Astyanax mexicanus: one gene and its partner. The protein of the gene in region 2 purifies or fractionates together with the protein of the main gene of each other region. This does not show direct contact. Links are inferred from orthologs where the notes say so. Each region holds a gene or a part of one and is shown on either strand. Other genes may lie near its edges.

The links. The genes of interacting proteins can lie anywhere in the genome.
Region 1: the proteins of phb (region 2) and ndufs2 purify together in Homo sapiens (affinity purification with mass spectrometry; 3 studies listed by BioGRID and IntAct, with this or other methods). This does not show direct contact. The link is inferred for Astyanax mexicanus from reciprocal best matches to the Homo sapiens genes PHB1 and NDUFS2.

The regions. Positions count from the first base shown.
Region 1 is NC_064415.1:29,481,560-29,489,159, forward strand, and holds the start of ndufs2 (NADH dehydrogenase [ubiquinone] iron-sulfur protein 2, mitochondrial), read left to right. Parts: upstream 1-4,352; 5' UTR 4,353-4,403; coding exon 4,404-4,507; intron 4,508-7,284; coding exon 7,285-7,388; intron 7,389-7,600. UniProt on the Homo sapiens protein: Core subunit of the mitochondrial membrane respiratory chain NADH dehydrogenase (Complex I) which catalyzes electron transfer from NADH through the respiratory chain, using ubiquinone as an electron acceptor. Essential for the catalytic activity of complex I.
Region 2 is NC_064426.1:27,731,992-27,740,164, reverse strand, and holds the start of phb (prohibitin), read left to right. Parts: upstream 1-4,922; 5' UTR 4,923-5,070; exon of another isoform or gene 5,071-5,098; intron 5,099-5,827; 5' UTR 5,828-5,845; coding exon 5,846-5,930; intron 5,931-6,899; coding exon 6,900-7,061; intron 7,062-7,485; coding exon 7,486-7,628; intron 7,629-7,718; coding exon 7,719-7,835; intron 7,836-7,980; coding exon 7,981-8,076; intron 8,077-8,173.

The DNA.
Region 1 (7,600 bases), on a different chromosome or scaffold from region 2:
CGTAATGCGGCATGCAGTACTGTCGGGAGTAGAAGCAGTAAAAATCTAAACGTATTTTAAAATCGATTTCAGGGCATTTTGAAGTGATTCAGAACTCTAGGACTAGGAATCAGGATTCTTAAAAGAATCTATTTTTTCAGCACCCATACTTCGGGTTACATGTTTTATCTGTTTTACTGTGACAACAGATTATTTAAATGTAAGCTCCATAAATCTCCTTTATCATTAACAGTATCACCTTCATCTTGCCCTCCTCCACCACCAGCTGCCAGGTTGCATCTCCACCAGGGTTGCCAGGTCCAACAAAAATATCGTGCCCAAAGTCTGTTTAAAATCACCCCTTCAGAAGCTTAAACTAGCCCAAAATATTTCTGGCACCGAGTGAAGCAAACGGCAAAACAACTATGTAGTATTTTATTTAGAATAATATAGTAACTATTAAACTATTGTAAAAATAATATTGTAATATTGTAGTGTTTTATTAGTTCTTTTGTAACAGTTTTATACGCCAGTTAAGAAAATGTAATAGTAACAGCATCTCCTCCACCTAATAGAGATAAAAAAGGAAGAGAGAAGAAGGGAAAGGATGTGTTGGTGTTGGAGGTCATTTCCACATGTAAAAATAGCCCAAAGTAGTGTGGAAGTGTTCTGAGGTCATTTATTAAAGCAGCAGTCCCTAACTTTCGCAAAAGTTACTTTCTTTTAAATTGAAAGCAGTAGTTTTCCTCGGTGGTGAGGTGAACAAATGTTCTAATTAAATGGTATCAATCTTCTGGCACAACCATCCTTGCAATTTGGGTTTGTTTTTTTTATCAAATTGAAAACCTCTGGAGTATAATCAAGAGGAAGATGGATGATCACAAGCCATCAAACCAAGCTGAACTGCTTGAATTTTTGCACCAGGAGTGGCATAAAGTTATCCAAAAGCAGGGTGTAAGACTGGTGGAGGAGAACATGCCAAGATGCATGAAAACTGTGATTAAAAAACAGGGTTATTCCACCAAACGTTGATTTCTGAACTGTTAAAACCTTATGAATATGAACTTGTGTTCTTTGCATTATTTAAGATCTGAAAGCTCTGCAACCTTCTTTTTCATTTCAACCATTTCTAATTTTCTACAAATAAATGCTCTGAATAACAATATTTTAATTTGGAATTTGGGAGAAATGTTGTCCGTAGTTTATAGAATAAAACAAAAACGTTCATTTTACTCAAACATAAACCTATAAATAGCAAAATCAGAGAAACAGATTCAGAAACTGAAATGGTCTCGTATTTTTTTCCAGAGCTGTATATAATTTTTTTCCTCATTCTTCCTTCAAATGTTAAGTTGGGTCGTCAATGTCACATTATTCTCTAAATATCCACACAGGTCTACAGGCAGGTCAATTCAGGATCGATACTCTCTTTTTCCTCAGCCTCAACTATTCTGCATTAATTTCACCATCACAGAAATGTAAATTACCTTTGCAAACAGCACTGACACACCATTCTATAACAGATCATGGCTTCTGACACACACTCGGTGTGGTCGATTTCTAAACGTCAGCGTAGGAAGAAAATTGCACCTGCAGATGCCATCACTGCAGCATGCACAACCTGAGGGGGGAAGATAAAGATCTGTAGCTGTATGATGTTTAGATAAATGTGTGTGTGATCTTACCACAACTTACTGGGTGATTGCGAAAGAAAATGTTTTAAGAAATTTAAATGAAAATTTATAATATAAAGGGACTGAGACAATTTAAAGATTTTTTCCTACAGCCATTGATAAAAGCCACTGACAATATACACAACAAGCATTTTATTAGGAACACGGTTGTAGCTCACTGAACCTACCCATACAACTCATACAAGTAAAAGAAGTTTTACAATGGCAACATATAATCACATTCATAGCTACTTCATTAATCATATTCACAGCTTACTCTTCACCTGATTGTGGAGCTTTTTAAAAGGATACAGTGGCTGCAACACACTGTGTTTGACTGATAATTGTGTTCCACACCTGGCAACCTGGGGTGTGGAAATAAGACTGGGGAGGTTAGATTCTCTGCCCGGATTTCCCACCACTGTCCCCAGGCCGGGTCAGACCGGGCTCTGTTTTTTAAGCTATTTTATATAAAGCTATGGCTTTATATTCACAATATAGTAAATAATCGTGTTTTTAAAAAGTTGCACAAGTTAAAATGTTATGATTATGAAGCTCTGGAACTGTGCAGTGAGCACTGCGCACGTCAGCTCCTCCTCCTAGCCTTATTGCTGTTTTTGTGTTCTGCGCTTAGACTATAAGCTTAAAAAAATTTGTTTAGAAAGTATTGTATATTCTTATACATTGTTAATTATTTTACAGTGGACGAAGGTCATTGTAATTCATGCTATTGCTCTTGGTCTATTTTGGTTTAATGAGTGTGCGTTGCCTTATTGTTGTTTTTTTGTGTTTTGCCATAGGCTATATGTTTTAAAATATTTTTAAAATATTTTTGTTCAGAAAGTGTTTTATTTTTTTTTAGACATTGTTAATTATATTAGAGTAGACAGGGAGATCGGTTCTTAATCAACATTGTTTTTAAATAATTGGTCTATGCTTCTTCAGTGTTTCAGTGTTAATTAACATAATTTTAAAAATTGTCTGGTTTAAGTCGGGCTCAGGCTCAAAAAGACTGTTTATGAGGCGGGTCGGGTCGGGCTTGAGCAGAATGTGCACAGGTTCAGGTTGGGATGGGCTGGATTTTCTGGACCCGGTCTAAGATCTATCTATAACAACTTAAATAGAAACATATTGGCTAATGTTTTGCAATAACCTGGCATGTTTATTTAATATGATTACACATTCTGATTGTATGAGGTAGTACAGAAAATAAATAGGTTATAGGTTCTGTAAATGATCACACCATGCTGATTATAAAGGAATAAAAAGGTAAATTTTTTTGTTTAAGGTTTAGATTTCTCATAATAATAAAATGATAAACTCTGTAAAACTGTATAAAATAAAACTATTTGATTGAAGTGTGAATACTAAAATCTGATCTGTTTCTTTATTGAGGTCTGAAGTTCAAGAATGGTAGTAAAGCCATCTGAGTGAGAGTGCCTTTTGTTTGCCTCATGCTCTTAGTTCTCTGTTCTTCTAAGACATGCTCAGCTTTGAAAGGAGCTTCTGAAGCTTCACTTCTGCATTCTCATTCTCAGTTGTCTTGCCATTTTCCACTTTCCATTTTTTTTTCCAGTTTTTAGTTTACACTCAAAAAATTTGTGCTAGTCAAATTAATGCAAAATGTGCAATTTTATATTATGTCAATTGTGGTGCTAGTCAAAACAATGCAAAATGTTCTTATAATTTCTTTATTGAGCAACACCAATACAAAGACTCAGAAAAGATGGGGCAGACCCAAAACATAAAAATGGCTCATCACTGGATCCTCTGAATTACGAGATTGTTTAAGAGTCGTAATAAGAAAAATGCTAGTTTTAAGCTAATGCTACAGTGGGGGAAAACTGACCTCCCAGTGCAGCTGCAGAGATCGACAGGGGACTCTTTTCGGTGCAACACCAGCAAATTCCGGCTGTATGTTTACACCATATTAAAGCCTGCTGACCCATCTAATAAAAAGCAGCACAGTTACCCCAGAACCAGGTTTAAACACTCAATAAATTAAATAATCCAAAACGTGATCCGGCAGGAGTTCGCTAGTGTTGTGCAGAATTGAGTCCGCTGCCATTCCCTGCCGCTGTGCTGTGAAGTCAGTTGAGCATTAGCTTGAAGCTAGCATTTTTCGAATTACTAACCTTAAAGGATCTCATAATTCAGAAGATCCAGTGATGTTCAGGAGGAAAACGTACACAGATTAAAATGAACAAGGTTCTGAACATATGTATTTACCACAGAATGTGATAGAGGCCAGTTGTTAAAAAGAATTGTTAGACACGGAACCCCAAATATGGGCATAAACAACAACATGGTGCCGCAATCTACATGACTTCAGTGCTCTATTGGCATGGAAACTATAATAAATATAAAATATTGCACCAAAAGTTATAATATGAAATTCATCATATGTATTGCATATTTGAGGTGAATAGTTAATGTAACGTTGCATATATGAGTGAGTGTAAAAGTACATCCCATGTAAGCCAACTATCAATGTTGAGAGTGATATGTCTACATAGACCATCAGTCTATCGAGGTAGAAAACCTGATCCGTGGCTCTGCGGTTCTGCAGACAGACCCATCTCTCTAAAACCATTAACGTTACAAGTTCTCATGTTGCCCCTTTAAGTTTTCCCTGTCTCTGCTGCCCCCTGGTGGTGAGGGGCAGTAGCGCAGGTACCGCTCCGCTGGGGGGCAGTAGAACGGGCTAGACGAGCTGAATTTGAAGGCAGTCAGACAGTCCGGCCTGTGAACATGGCGGCGACTATGCTGAGGTCGCTCTCCAAACTCGGACGTCCTTCAGCGGCGATTTTAAACAGCAGCGCTCTGACCCCGAGCTGCGCTGTGCTTCAGAAGAGGTAAGTCTCAGATCACAGAACAGGACTTCAGCTCTAGCTGCTGAAATAAACTGCAGCTTCCTGCGGGCGGACTGTTAAATCAGAAACTCTGGTCTGTGTGTTGAGATATAAACTGCAGGAATATTTCGGGTTAATGTCAGCACTGTACACGGGGCAGGGGTTCAAATCTGAGCTGAGCGTGTCTGGACTGTATATACGGTGGTTTGGTGGTTAATAATGCGCTGAATCTGTTCATTAGGTGCGGGTAGTTTCATAACTAACCTTTTGCGTTAGCAAGCAGGCTAAACTGAGTAGAGGTAGGTAACCCAGGCCCGGAAAGTAAAAATCCATCCCAGGGTTTTGTACCAACTGCTTGGACGGCTCAGCAGTTGTTACCAAACCCTGGAATGGATTTTTACTTTCCGGAGCTGGGTTACCCACCTTTAAATCTGAGCTAGGTTAAGTAACGCCAGCTAATTCAGCGAGCCGGTGTACGCTCATAGACTCCATAGATAATCTGTTTAGTAGCTAAATAAGGTCACAGATTATTATACGGTCTGAATTTACTGCGTGGTTAAGTTACATGCGACCTGTTCTTCTGAAGATAGATAATTAGTTAGTGATTAATAGGATATCTAAGTTAGCTAACATGTCCCAAAAGTATCTGGACAGCTTGTTGTCAGATTGGCTGGAGTGCACACATTGCTGAAACAGGAATTCAGGGTGCCACAAACACAGCTAAGCTAGTTTAATCCACAAATAAAAGCATTGCCAGTAGAATAAGACACTCTGCAGCAGCAGCAAATGAGCGTAAGGTCACTAAGCTAGCTAGTGCTATGTCCAATGACAGAGGAACGTGGATAACAGTGGATGAAGCTCAGTTACTAACCTACAGTACTTTTGGGAAGACTTGTTGCAGCATCTGTCCAGAACTAAGTTAATCTTCCTACACGAGTACCTGTCCTCTCTAAAGCGCTTGAGACTGGATACCATCAGATTCTAACAGCAATATTTCAACATATCGTTTAAAAGTGTAATAATTAAACTTTTTTGGTCTGATTGGGTCTTTCCGAATGAAAGCTTTAAGAGATAATTAATGTTTAGGCCATGTGATTCCCGTAAACACTGCTGTGTGTGTGTGTGTGTGTGTGTGTGTGTGTGTGTGTGTGTGTATACATACAGCTCCGGGGGAAAATAAGAGACCAACTAAAAATAGTCAGTTTCTCAGATTTAACTCTTTATAACTATATAATTGCGTAAAATGAATATTGTGGTTTTATTTTATAAATCGCTGACAAAATTCCTCCCAAGTTACAAAAACAAATAGTCATTTAGAGCATTTATTTACAGAAAATGAGAAATGGTCAAAATAATGAAAAAGGTACAGTGCTTTCAAACCTCAAATAAGGCAAAGAAAATAAGTTAATTCCTTTTGAAACAACAGCAATACTAAGGTTTTACCGAAGGAAGAGTTCCGAGTCAATTCTTGTTAGAATATCCCAGATTGTTCATCACAGCTTTCATGTGTCTCTGCATGCTCTCCACCAGTCTTTCACACTGCTTTTGGGTGTCTTTATGCCACTCCTGGCGCAAAAATTCAAGCAGTTCAGCTTTGATGGTTGTGACCTTCTATCTTCCGCTTCATTATGTTCCAGAGGTTTTTCAACGGTGTTCAAAATGAACAACAAAGTTTGTTTTACTTAAACATGTACCTGTAAAAAGCAAAATCAAGGAAACTGATTCAGAAACCAAAGTGGTCTCTTAATTTTTGTCCAGAGCTGTATATATGCATAATTAAATGAAAGCATTCAAACAGCTTGTCAGATTGACTGGAGTGCACACATTGCTGGTACAGGTGTTCAGGTACCATAAACATAACTAGCTTAATCCCTATACTAAAACATTGCCAGTAGAATAAGATCATCTCGAGTTGCAGCAAATGAGCTTAAGGTCACTAAGCGATCTAGTTTTTTAAAATGACAGAAATTTTTTTATCCCATTTTCTCCTCAATTTACAAAGTCAGTTACCTAACTCACTAGGGACTCCCTTTATCACTAGTAATGCCCCAACACCAGGATGGTGAAGACTAGCACATGCCTCCTCTGATACATGTGAAGTCAGCCGTCGCCTCTTTTCGAGCTGCTGCTGATGCAACACATCTGAGTAGCATCATTGTGCTCGGAGGAAAGCGCAGCGGCTCGGTTCCAATACGTCAGCTCACAGATGTCTTGTGCTGATTGACATCACCCTTTGGAGTGATGTGGGGAGAGGGTGCCATAGCTGAACACAGGTTAGATTATAACTAACTTATTTAACTAGCAAACTTAATTTTTTTGCAGAATAGCTAGGTCATATTCCCAAGAGTGCACACATTGCTGCTACAGGTGTTTGTTAATTTAGGCTTTTACCCAAATCCTGCATTGCTTTTCCCTCATAATAACGTTTTGTTAATATATTGACTTATTTTACAATATGTGAACATGACCTTGATTAATTTAACTGACCTTCGCATTGCACACTGTTTTTTATTTTATTGTAATGCCCATTTAATATGAAAGTTTTGATATGTTGACTTTGTTTAAAAACTGTGTGTTTTTTGGGGTCTTTAAACATGTGTTTTAAAGCTGTAGTTACTTTGTTTTGCTATTATATTGTCTTTGGATCCATCCCTAAAATCATTTATCTTAATTATTTCTTGGTCAGTGTGTTTTCCAAACCAAAATATAGTTATCATGACTGTGATAACTATATAAAAAATTCTAATGACCACAACTAAATCACTTCATCATCCCTGTAGGCAGAAGCAATGGCAGCCAGATGTGGAGTGGGCAGAGCAGTATGGAGGTGCAGTGATGTATCCTACTTCCATCACTGAAAAATGGGTACCACCACCATGGAACGGTATGCATATTTTGGATCCTTTTGCCATTGATATTTTGTTGCTAGAATCTCTTCTCTTTAAGTACAAATATTGAGAGTCTGATCTGACTGCAAGCTTGTTTAATTAATGAGTTCAGGTATCTACCAAAACAGAATCCCAAATCCTTTATTTTGGCAAAAATAAATAAATAAAAGAAAAAGGAAAGAATGAACAAATACAAGCTGTCCCTTAA
Region 2 (8,173 bases):
AAACACGGCAGGTCAAAGGCTCAACAAACACATATGAACAAGATCAAAACAGAGTAACAGGGCGAGGTCAAACACAACACAACACAACAAAACAAAGGAGCACATGGGGTATTTATACACAGGCACACACAAGGGTAGAAGTAACGAGGGGGCGTGGTTACAAATGAGACAGGAGGTATTACAGATGACAGGGCGGGGCTAAGGCGGAGACAGGACAATAACACAGGCCAAGTGCTCAAACAACACATGAGGGAGAAAACTAAACAAACTAAAAAATACAGATCAGAAACAGAACGAACAGAAAAGAAAACACACTAGACATACAAAGGCTAAAGGTGTGAAAAACAGAAATTGTTGGGGTTTTCTAATAAAAATTAGCCCTATTCCCTGAAATGAGTTTAACGACCCTGATCTGATTTTGAACTATAAAATACGAGGCATCGCATCAGCACTAACTTCACAACCACTAAGTCAGGGATTTTAGTGGATGTACCATGTCAAATTGAGCTTTAATCTAAGACTGTTTGAATAGGATAAAATGTGTTGTAAAGAACATTAAATCTGAGCCAAGATAATTTGAGCAAAAGACAGCACCACCTAGTTCTCACTGACACCATTACTCAGCCATGGTCCTTTTCAATGAGCTTATCATACATTACTGTGCCAGGCAGAGTTGTACAGTACAAGCCAGCGATTACTGAGCCTTGGAAACACGTAGTTATTGCAGATCTGGATTACAGAGACAAAAGGCAACCCTGTTTTTGGGCTGAACAGACAGGAAGGGAGTTTACAGAAATGGTGATTTTACGTATTACGGACCTTTCACTGCCTGTAACCCGCACATTCCCAGAAGTGCCAAAATGGCTTGGAGAGGGGAATAATTATATACAAAGAGCTCCACTCTAACCTATTCTAACAGAGTTCTAAAGAAACCATCCAATGAAGGTGGAATTTGAACACACATGAAGAGAGCACAATAGATTAGAAGTCTATCACCTTAAACACTCAGGCACCTTGTCTTGGTTTGTCTCTAAAATGTCAGTTCCATTTTTTGGCCTGAAATGTTGTGAAATGCTTCTTTATTCACTTGTTCTTCATGTAAAGATGATCAACATTGTTGCAAAGGCATTTTAAACCCACACAAGCAGAGCACAATGAATTAGCAGTCCATTGCCTTATCCACACGGCCACCTCGTCTTCTTTTTCCATTTAATATACAGTTCCTGTTACACGCATTGGAGCAACAAATAAACGAGTTTAAACATCCGATGCAATAGCAAATATAAAGAAGCACACATTTCTAATGGTGAAACTTTATCTTTATCACACTCTAAATGTGGTGAAGACAGGCAGCGGCGTAGTAGCGGCATCACTCTTAGTTATGAAAGTGACATCAATCTCCTCCAATGGGGAGTGGACAGGCTCCAATGGGGCGTGGACAGGCCCAACAGAGGCATCGGTCTCCTCCAATGGGGTGTGGATGTGTCCAGCAGAGGCTTGACACATCCTCACTCTCCTCCAATGGGGGCCTGACATCTGACTGGGGCCTGGGGCCACTGGTTCCAAATTCCTGAAGTGATTAATAAGAGTACATCCATCTTTTAAAGGTTTGTTTGTACATCAAAAATTGAGTGCTTTTTAGTTTTCTAATATTTTTTTACCGTCTGGTTTTGTTGACATAATGTTACCTGCAATGTGAGATCAAGATCCTGTGGTATGGTCACATCATCATCATCATCATCATCATGGTCACCAATACCAATCTGCTGGCTAAGAAGATCTCCCCGATTGGACTGAGCCATTTCATTTCAAAGGGATACCCCACATGCACATTGGTGCCCAAATAACATCCCCTGCCTTAAATAATTGTGTGGGTTTGCAGGTGCCACAGATCTGACTGGGCTGTATGGGTGGTGCCAATTCTCCCTGACATCCTGTCTCAGCTGCCCATTTGCTTCATAAAGGATGTGTGCAATCCACTCTTGGTCACCTGGCTTGATGACCCGGAGGAGCGGCTTTGACAAGAACCTGGCCTGGCTTATTTCTGGATAGTGCTCAGGGACTGGGAGCAGCTGGAGCGGGAGCAGAAGCAGGGGAAGGAGGAAGTGGCCTGCCACTCTGAGTGGCTGGTACCATCTCAAATGCTGTGGAAGGGAGGAAGGGGCAGAAACAGAAGCATCTCCACTTCAAAGGTGATTGTTAAAGTGGGCTAAAGTTGTGGAGGGAAGGGCTGAAGGGGCTGGAGGAGAAATGTCTGGGAGGTCTGTGCAAGATTTCAACACATGACACTTTTCAAGGTGCTCTGACAAAGCCACAACACCCAAGGCCTATGTGCCACAGTGCTCAATAAATTATCTAACCTAGTGACGAGCTAGCTAACACTAATGTTACTGGAGATAGAATGAAAGCTAGCAACGAGCTAACTAACCTTAGTGACGAGCGAACGCTAGCAAACTACACACTAATGTTACTGGAGTTAGAACGAAAGCTAGCAACAAGCTAACTAACCTTTGCTATGAGCTTTTCCAGGTTGTTCTTGACCGTACAAACTCTATTTTTTATTACCATTTAATAAAAAAATAAATAAATAAACATGCTGTTTTTACTAATAATATACTGTTAATTACTGTAATATTTAATACTATATTAAAACTACATTTTTATAAACACACAATGTTTTAAATATAGACCGTTTCAATGAGGAAAACAATAACAAAGCTAATGCGCATGTCTGTTCCTTCGACGCTTCCGGTGGCGTTATTTTCAAGTATACAGCTGTCAAAATGAGAGCGCATATTTCCCGAAAACAGAGCAAACATATGGTCAGAAATTAGTAAAAAGTGATCAAACCTCTTTTCCTGATCCTTTTGATAAGGATTTAAGAGGGAAGTTTTTTCCTCTGATTTAAAACGCGTGCCAGAGGTGATCTACCCAGATGTGATCAATACCTTGTTGAAACGGAGGCAGTGAAAGCGCACCGCAGTTTGGGCGCATATAATTACTTTCTCAGTGGAAAAGTTGGGAATATTTGTTCATATAGTAGAGAAGCATCACTATAGTGTATGGTGAGGTTGGAGCAAGTCAAACGCTGTCCAACATGTACTCTGCATGGTTTATAGATAAGAGGCAGGGAGAAGTTGTGAGTTGACACTGTAACTGCATGGCAGGTCAGCAGTGTGAAAAACGAAAGCACGCGTGTTTACTATGGAGGACCAAAAATGACATAAGTATAAATAAAAAAATGTTGAAATAAATAAATGAATAAATAAATAAATAAATGTTGACATAAAAAATACACATATAAATTAATAAATAAATATATAAATAAGAAATGTATTTATTAATTAATTTAATTACCTATACACTTATTTGTGCATGTGTTTATTTATTTATATATTTGTTTATTCATTTATATGTGCATTTATTTATATATTTATTCATTTCAACATTAATTTTTTTATTCATTTATTTATTTATATATTTATACATTTATATGTGTATTTATTTATACTTATGTAATTTTTGGTCCTCCATAGTTTACATAGGTTTAAAGAACAATTTGTACTACTATTGTAGTAACCACGGGTGCAGTTGAACAAATTGTCCAGTAGGTGGAGCCACAGTGCTCTCAGATGAATTGCCCTTCAAATGGGAGCAGAAAGATCAAAGAATCTTGCTGGTTTAGAAGAAAGAAATTAGAAGAAACTTGTGTGAGTTCAGCACAAATAAAGGAAAACAAACATAGATGTCTCTTCCTCATCTCATCAAGTCATCACAGTTATGCAGTATGAATTAGAATAGTTTTTTTCCCCTGTATCTCTGCGCACATAATTACGACATATGAAATATGAGGACATTTAAGGAATAGGACATATATAAAAACAATAGAATAGAACAATATAAGCAATAAAAATAAGCAGTAATCTATAATAATAAAACACAAGTAACCCATAAGAGCCCAGACCAATTTCTGAATATTGATACTAATTCATTGAATTTAATAAATTTATTGAGCAGCTCATTCATGTTTTTCTTGTGTGTGGGTTAAAATGTTAAAATCATGATGTAACATAAATCCAGTCACAAACAGGTCAGAACTAGTTATATGGAGCAAAAAACATTTTCTTAACGCGTTTGAACGGTTAAATGGTTGTAATAGAGCTGTAGAAGCAAAAAAAAAAACATCTCCAGCACTATCCCATCACACAGCTTTAAAATCTCTCTCTCTCTCTCTCTATATATATATATATATATATATATATATAGACATATATATATATATATAGACATAAAGAAAGAGAGAGAGAGAGAGAGAAAGAGAGAGAGCTCTGGAAAAAATAAGATACCACTTAAGACTGACGAGTTTCTTTGACTTTACCAAATTAAAAAAACGATGGAAAATAATCAAGAGTAATGGATGATCACAAGCCATCAAACTAATTTTTGCACCAGGAGGAACATAAAGTTATCCAAAGGCAGTGTGTTAGACTGGTGGAGGAGAACATGCCAAGATGCATGAAAACTGTGATTAAAAACCAGGGTTATTCCACTAAATATTGATTTCTGATCTCTTAAAACTGTATGATTATGAACTTGTTTTCTTTGCATTATTTGAGGTCTGAAAACTCTGCATTTCTTAGTTTTTTCAGCTATTTCACATTTTCTGCAAATAAATGCTCTAAATGACAATATTTTTATTTTGAATTTGGGAGAACTGTTGTCTGTAGTTTATAGAATAAAACAACAATGTTAATTTTACTCAAACATATACCTATCAATAGCAAAATCAGAGAAACTTTTTTTTAAGTTTAGGGAATTTTCTGACTTCAGATACTCCGTCTGAAGGCAGCATGTGTTGTGTTACGTATCCGCAGGAAGAGCCGTCAAGGTCCAGAACCACAACCAATGAAATCACTCCATACTTACAGGCACGCGCTTCTCCCCTTCTCAGCTTCAGCGCGTCCAATCAGAATCGCTTCTGTTGGGCAGTCTGCGCATGCTCATACGTCTTGTCTGTTCATGTGGCTGGTCGCTGGGTTTGTGTGGAGGTCACAGTGATCAGGAGCCCGGGTGAGTTACCTGCAGTGCTGGAGCCCATGTGAGAACAGTAGTTATATGTTAACTGATGATGTGCTGGTTGTGTGTATAGGAGTTAGGGTGAAGTAGCTAGCTTGGTTTTTGTGCCTCGTTTCAGTAGAAATGTGTGATTTACTAGTGCTGGCGAACTGCAGCAGCGGTGCGGTTGCAAAACGTTGCACCAGCAATAGATGCTAACTAGTTAGCTTAGCTAACGTTAGGTTAACTAAGCTAGCTAACTGAGTGTGTTCTTGGTTTAGTATTAGCTTGTTATAATCTTGAATTAATAGGTAACTTAGTCGTATTCATTTAACTAGGTAGTGAAGTAGTCACTAAATATTTCCAGACGTTTCTAGGTTAACTAGAATAGTTTATAGCTAGCTAATAGCTAGCATAGCATAGTCCATAATCAAGGCCTCTGAACAGTGCTCACATTATGCACATTTGTAGTTAGTTAGCTAACTAACTGTTGGCTCTGTTTGTTATACAGAATTAAACTAACTGAACACCAATAAGCTAGTTACCCAGTATGCTTAGCTCTGTCCGCTAGTTATATAATATTGATGATTAGCTCTTGATACATAAGTGAAGAGTAGATTTCCTGGCTGTTCTAAGAAGGAATGTTCCAGATAACCTCACACTTTGTCCTTTCTAAACCTAATAAGCTAACCCACATGCTGTTTTATAGTTTTTTCCACAGAATTTCACATTAATATTGTGTAAAAATAATAAATAATCCTTTTTCCCCCAGAGCCGTCACTCCGCTGTCATGGCTAAGTTATTTGAGTCTATTGGAAAGTTGGGATTGGCCTTGGCCGTTGGAGGAGGCGTGGTGAACTCTGCCCTCTTTAATGGTAAGTGGATTTCAGTGTGTTTTAGTGAAGTGTTGTAGTTGTTCACGTCTGTATCCATTAACACGATTAACAGTCTTTATTTCAGCAGCACGGCTGTGTTCAGTTTACTTTGTCTGAGATTAAAAGTCATGTGTTTTAACAGATTATCTGTCTAAAGCTGTATGTTCATATTACACATGGGAAAAGAATATTGTTGCTGTTGAATGGAGAACAATTATATCCAATTTTTTTTTTTTTTTTTTTAAAATAGCCCATAAAACCCCATTTAAAAATGCATATGCTTTCAAAGTAAAGAAGAGTTAAATATAAAAATATAAGACATTAAATATTAAAACATAATAACACAATAAATAATAAAAAACATGTATTTATTGTTTATAAGCTGTGCACAACCTGCCCAGAACGTGTCTGCGACCCACTTTTGGGTCCAAACCCACCAGCTGAGAATCGCTGCCTTACACTCACTTAATTTCCTGATGAACGGGTGGGTTTTTATGTCAGGGATTTTTATTGAGTCTCTATTAATCTGCAATGTAGTAAATAATGAAAAAAAGAATGTGTCCAAACGTTTGACTGGTACTGTGTCTTTGAAACAGAACAGGGACACCATGAGCAATTCAAAATGTTTGCATCTCTAGGTCAAGCATGGCTTCATCAAATGCTAATTTTCCCTAAAATTGTCCACCCTGCTGTGCAGCTTGCCATAACAAGGTGGACACATTCGTGACAGGAAATACAGTGTGCAAATTAAAAATATTATTTCTGATTAGGCATCTTGTCATAAGTTTTTTTTTTTTTTTTTTTTTTTTTAATACCTATGAAATGCCTAATACTATGATCCTAATACTAAAAGATTATGCCAAACTTTGCCCCTAATTGCTGTAAACTTTTTTATATTCTAAACTATATAATTACTAATAAAAAAATGATTTTGACTTAATCTAATCTATATCTGTGTGTGTCCTGCAGTTGACGCTGGTCACAGGGCAGTCATCTTTGACCGGTTTAGAGGAGTACAGGATGCCGTGGTTGGGGAGGGAACACATTTTCTGATTCCCTGGGTTCAGAAACCCATCATTTTTGACTGCAGGTCCCGCCCACGCAATGTGCCTGTCGTGACTGGAAGCAAAGGTAACTACTGTCAGAAAAAAAAATATATATATATCATTTTCATGATCTTGACCATGACCTTGACTCTGAAGGGGTGTAGTAATGGCCTTGTTATATTTTCAGTGCTTAGTGGCCATGGCAATGTTTTCTTATCATTTTAATTCTTAGCAGTGGGTCTTGCTGTCTACAGTATGTTAACCATATATCAGTGTCATGAAAAATGTGGAAATTTGTCCAAGTTGTTTCTTGGACAACGTATCGTCCAGAAACTTTTTTTTCAATTATTATTATAATTTTTTTTATAAATAATGTAGTAAAATTTTCATTCCAAATAAATAATTATCTCTCTACAATGGAATCTATAGAGTTTGCAGTGACTGACTAGTTACCCTAAGGCTAATGCTCTATTAGTATTATAGTTGTCTTTCCTTTCTTTTTCCTTCAGATCTACAGAATGTGAACATTACACTGAGGATTCTCTTCAGACCGGTAGCAAATCAACTGCCTAGGATTTTCACCAGTATTGGTGAAGACTATGATGAAAGAGTGCTCCCCTCCATCACCACTGAAGTCCTGAAAGCTGTTGTGGTGGGTAGCTATAAATCATTCTGTGTGTCTCAGTATAAGAGGTCCTAATAGTATGTGACCATGTGGCCGTGTCTCCATGTTTCCCCTCAGGCCAGGTTTGATGCAGGAGAGCTGATCACTCAGAGAGAGCTGGTATCCAGGCAGGTCAGTGAAGATCTGACTGAGAGAGCGTCCACATTCGGCCTTATCCTGGATGACGTTTCCCTGGTAATCCTTGATACTTTATATCTGTCTCACTTCCTTCATTCATTGCCTGTGGAGTGTGACTACAATGATGATGATGATTATGATGATGATTATGATGATCTTGATCCAGATTATATTTAAAGCAACTTTTCTTTCTGTTCTTCAGACTCACCTGACGTTTGGTAAAGAATTCACAGAGGCTGTTGAAATGAAACAAGTGGCTCAGCAAGAAGCTGAACGGGCAAGGTTTGTTGTGGAAAAGGTAAGATATGAGAACATCCTTCTTATCTAATGTATGTCTGTCTGGTGAAAATAGGGCTTATTGCATATGTATGTTATATGTAGAGCATATAATTCAT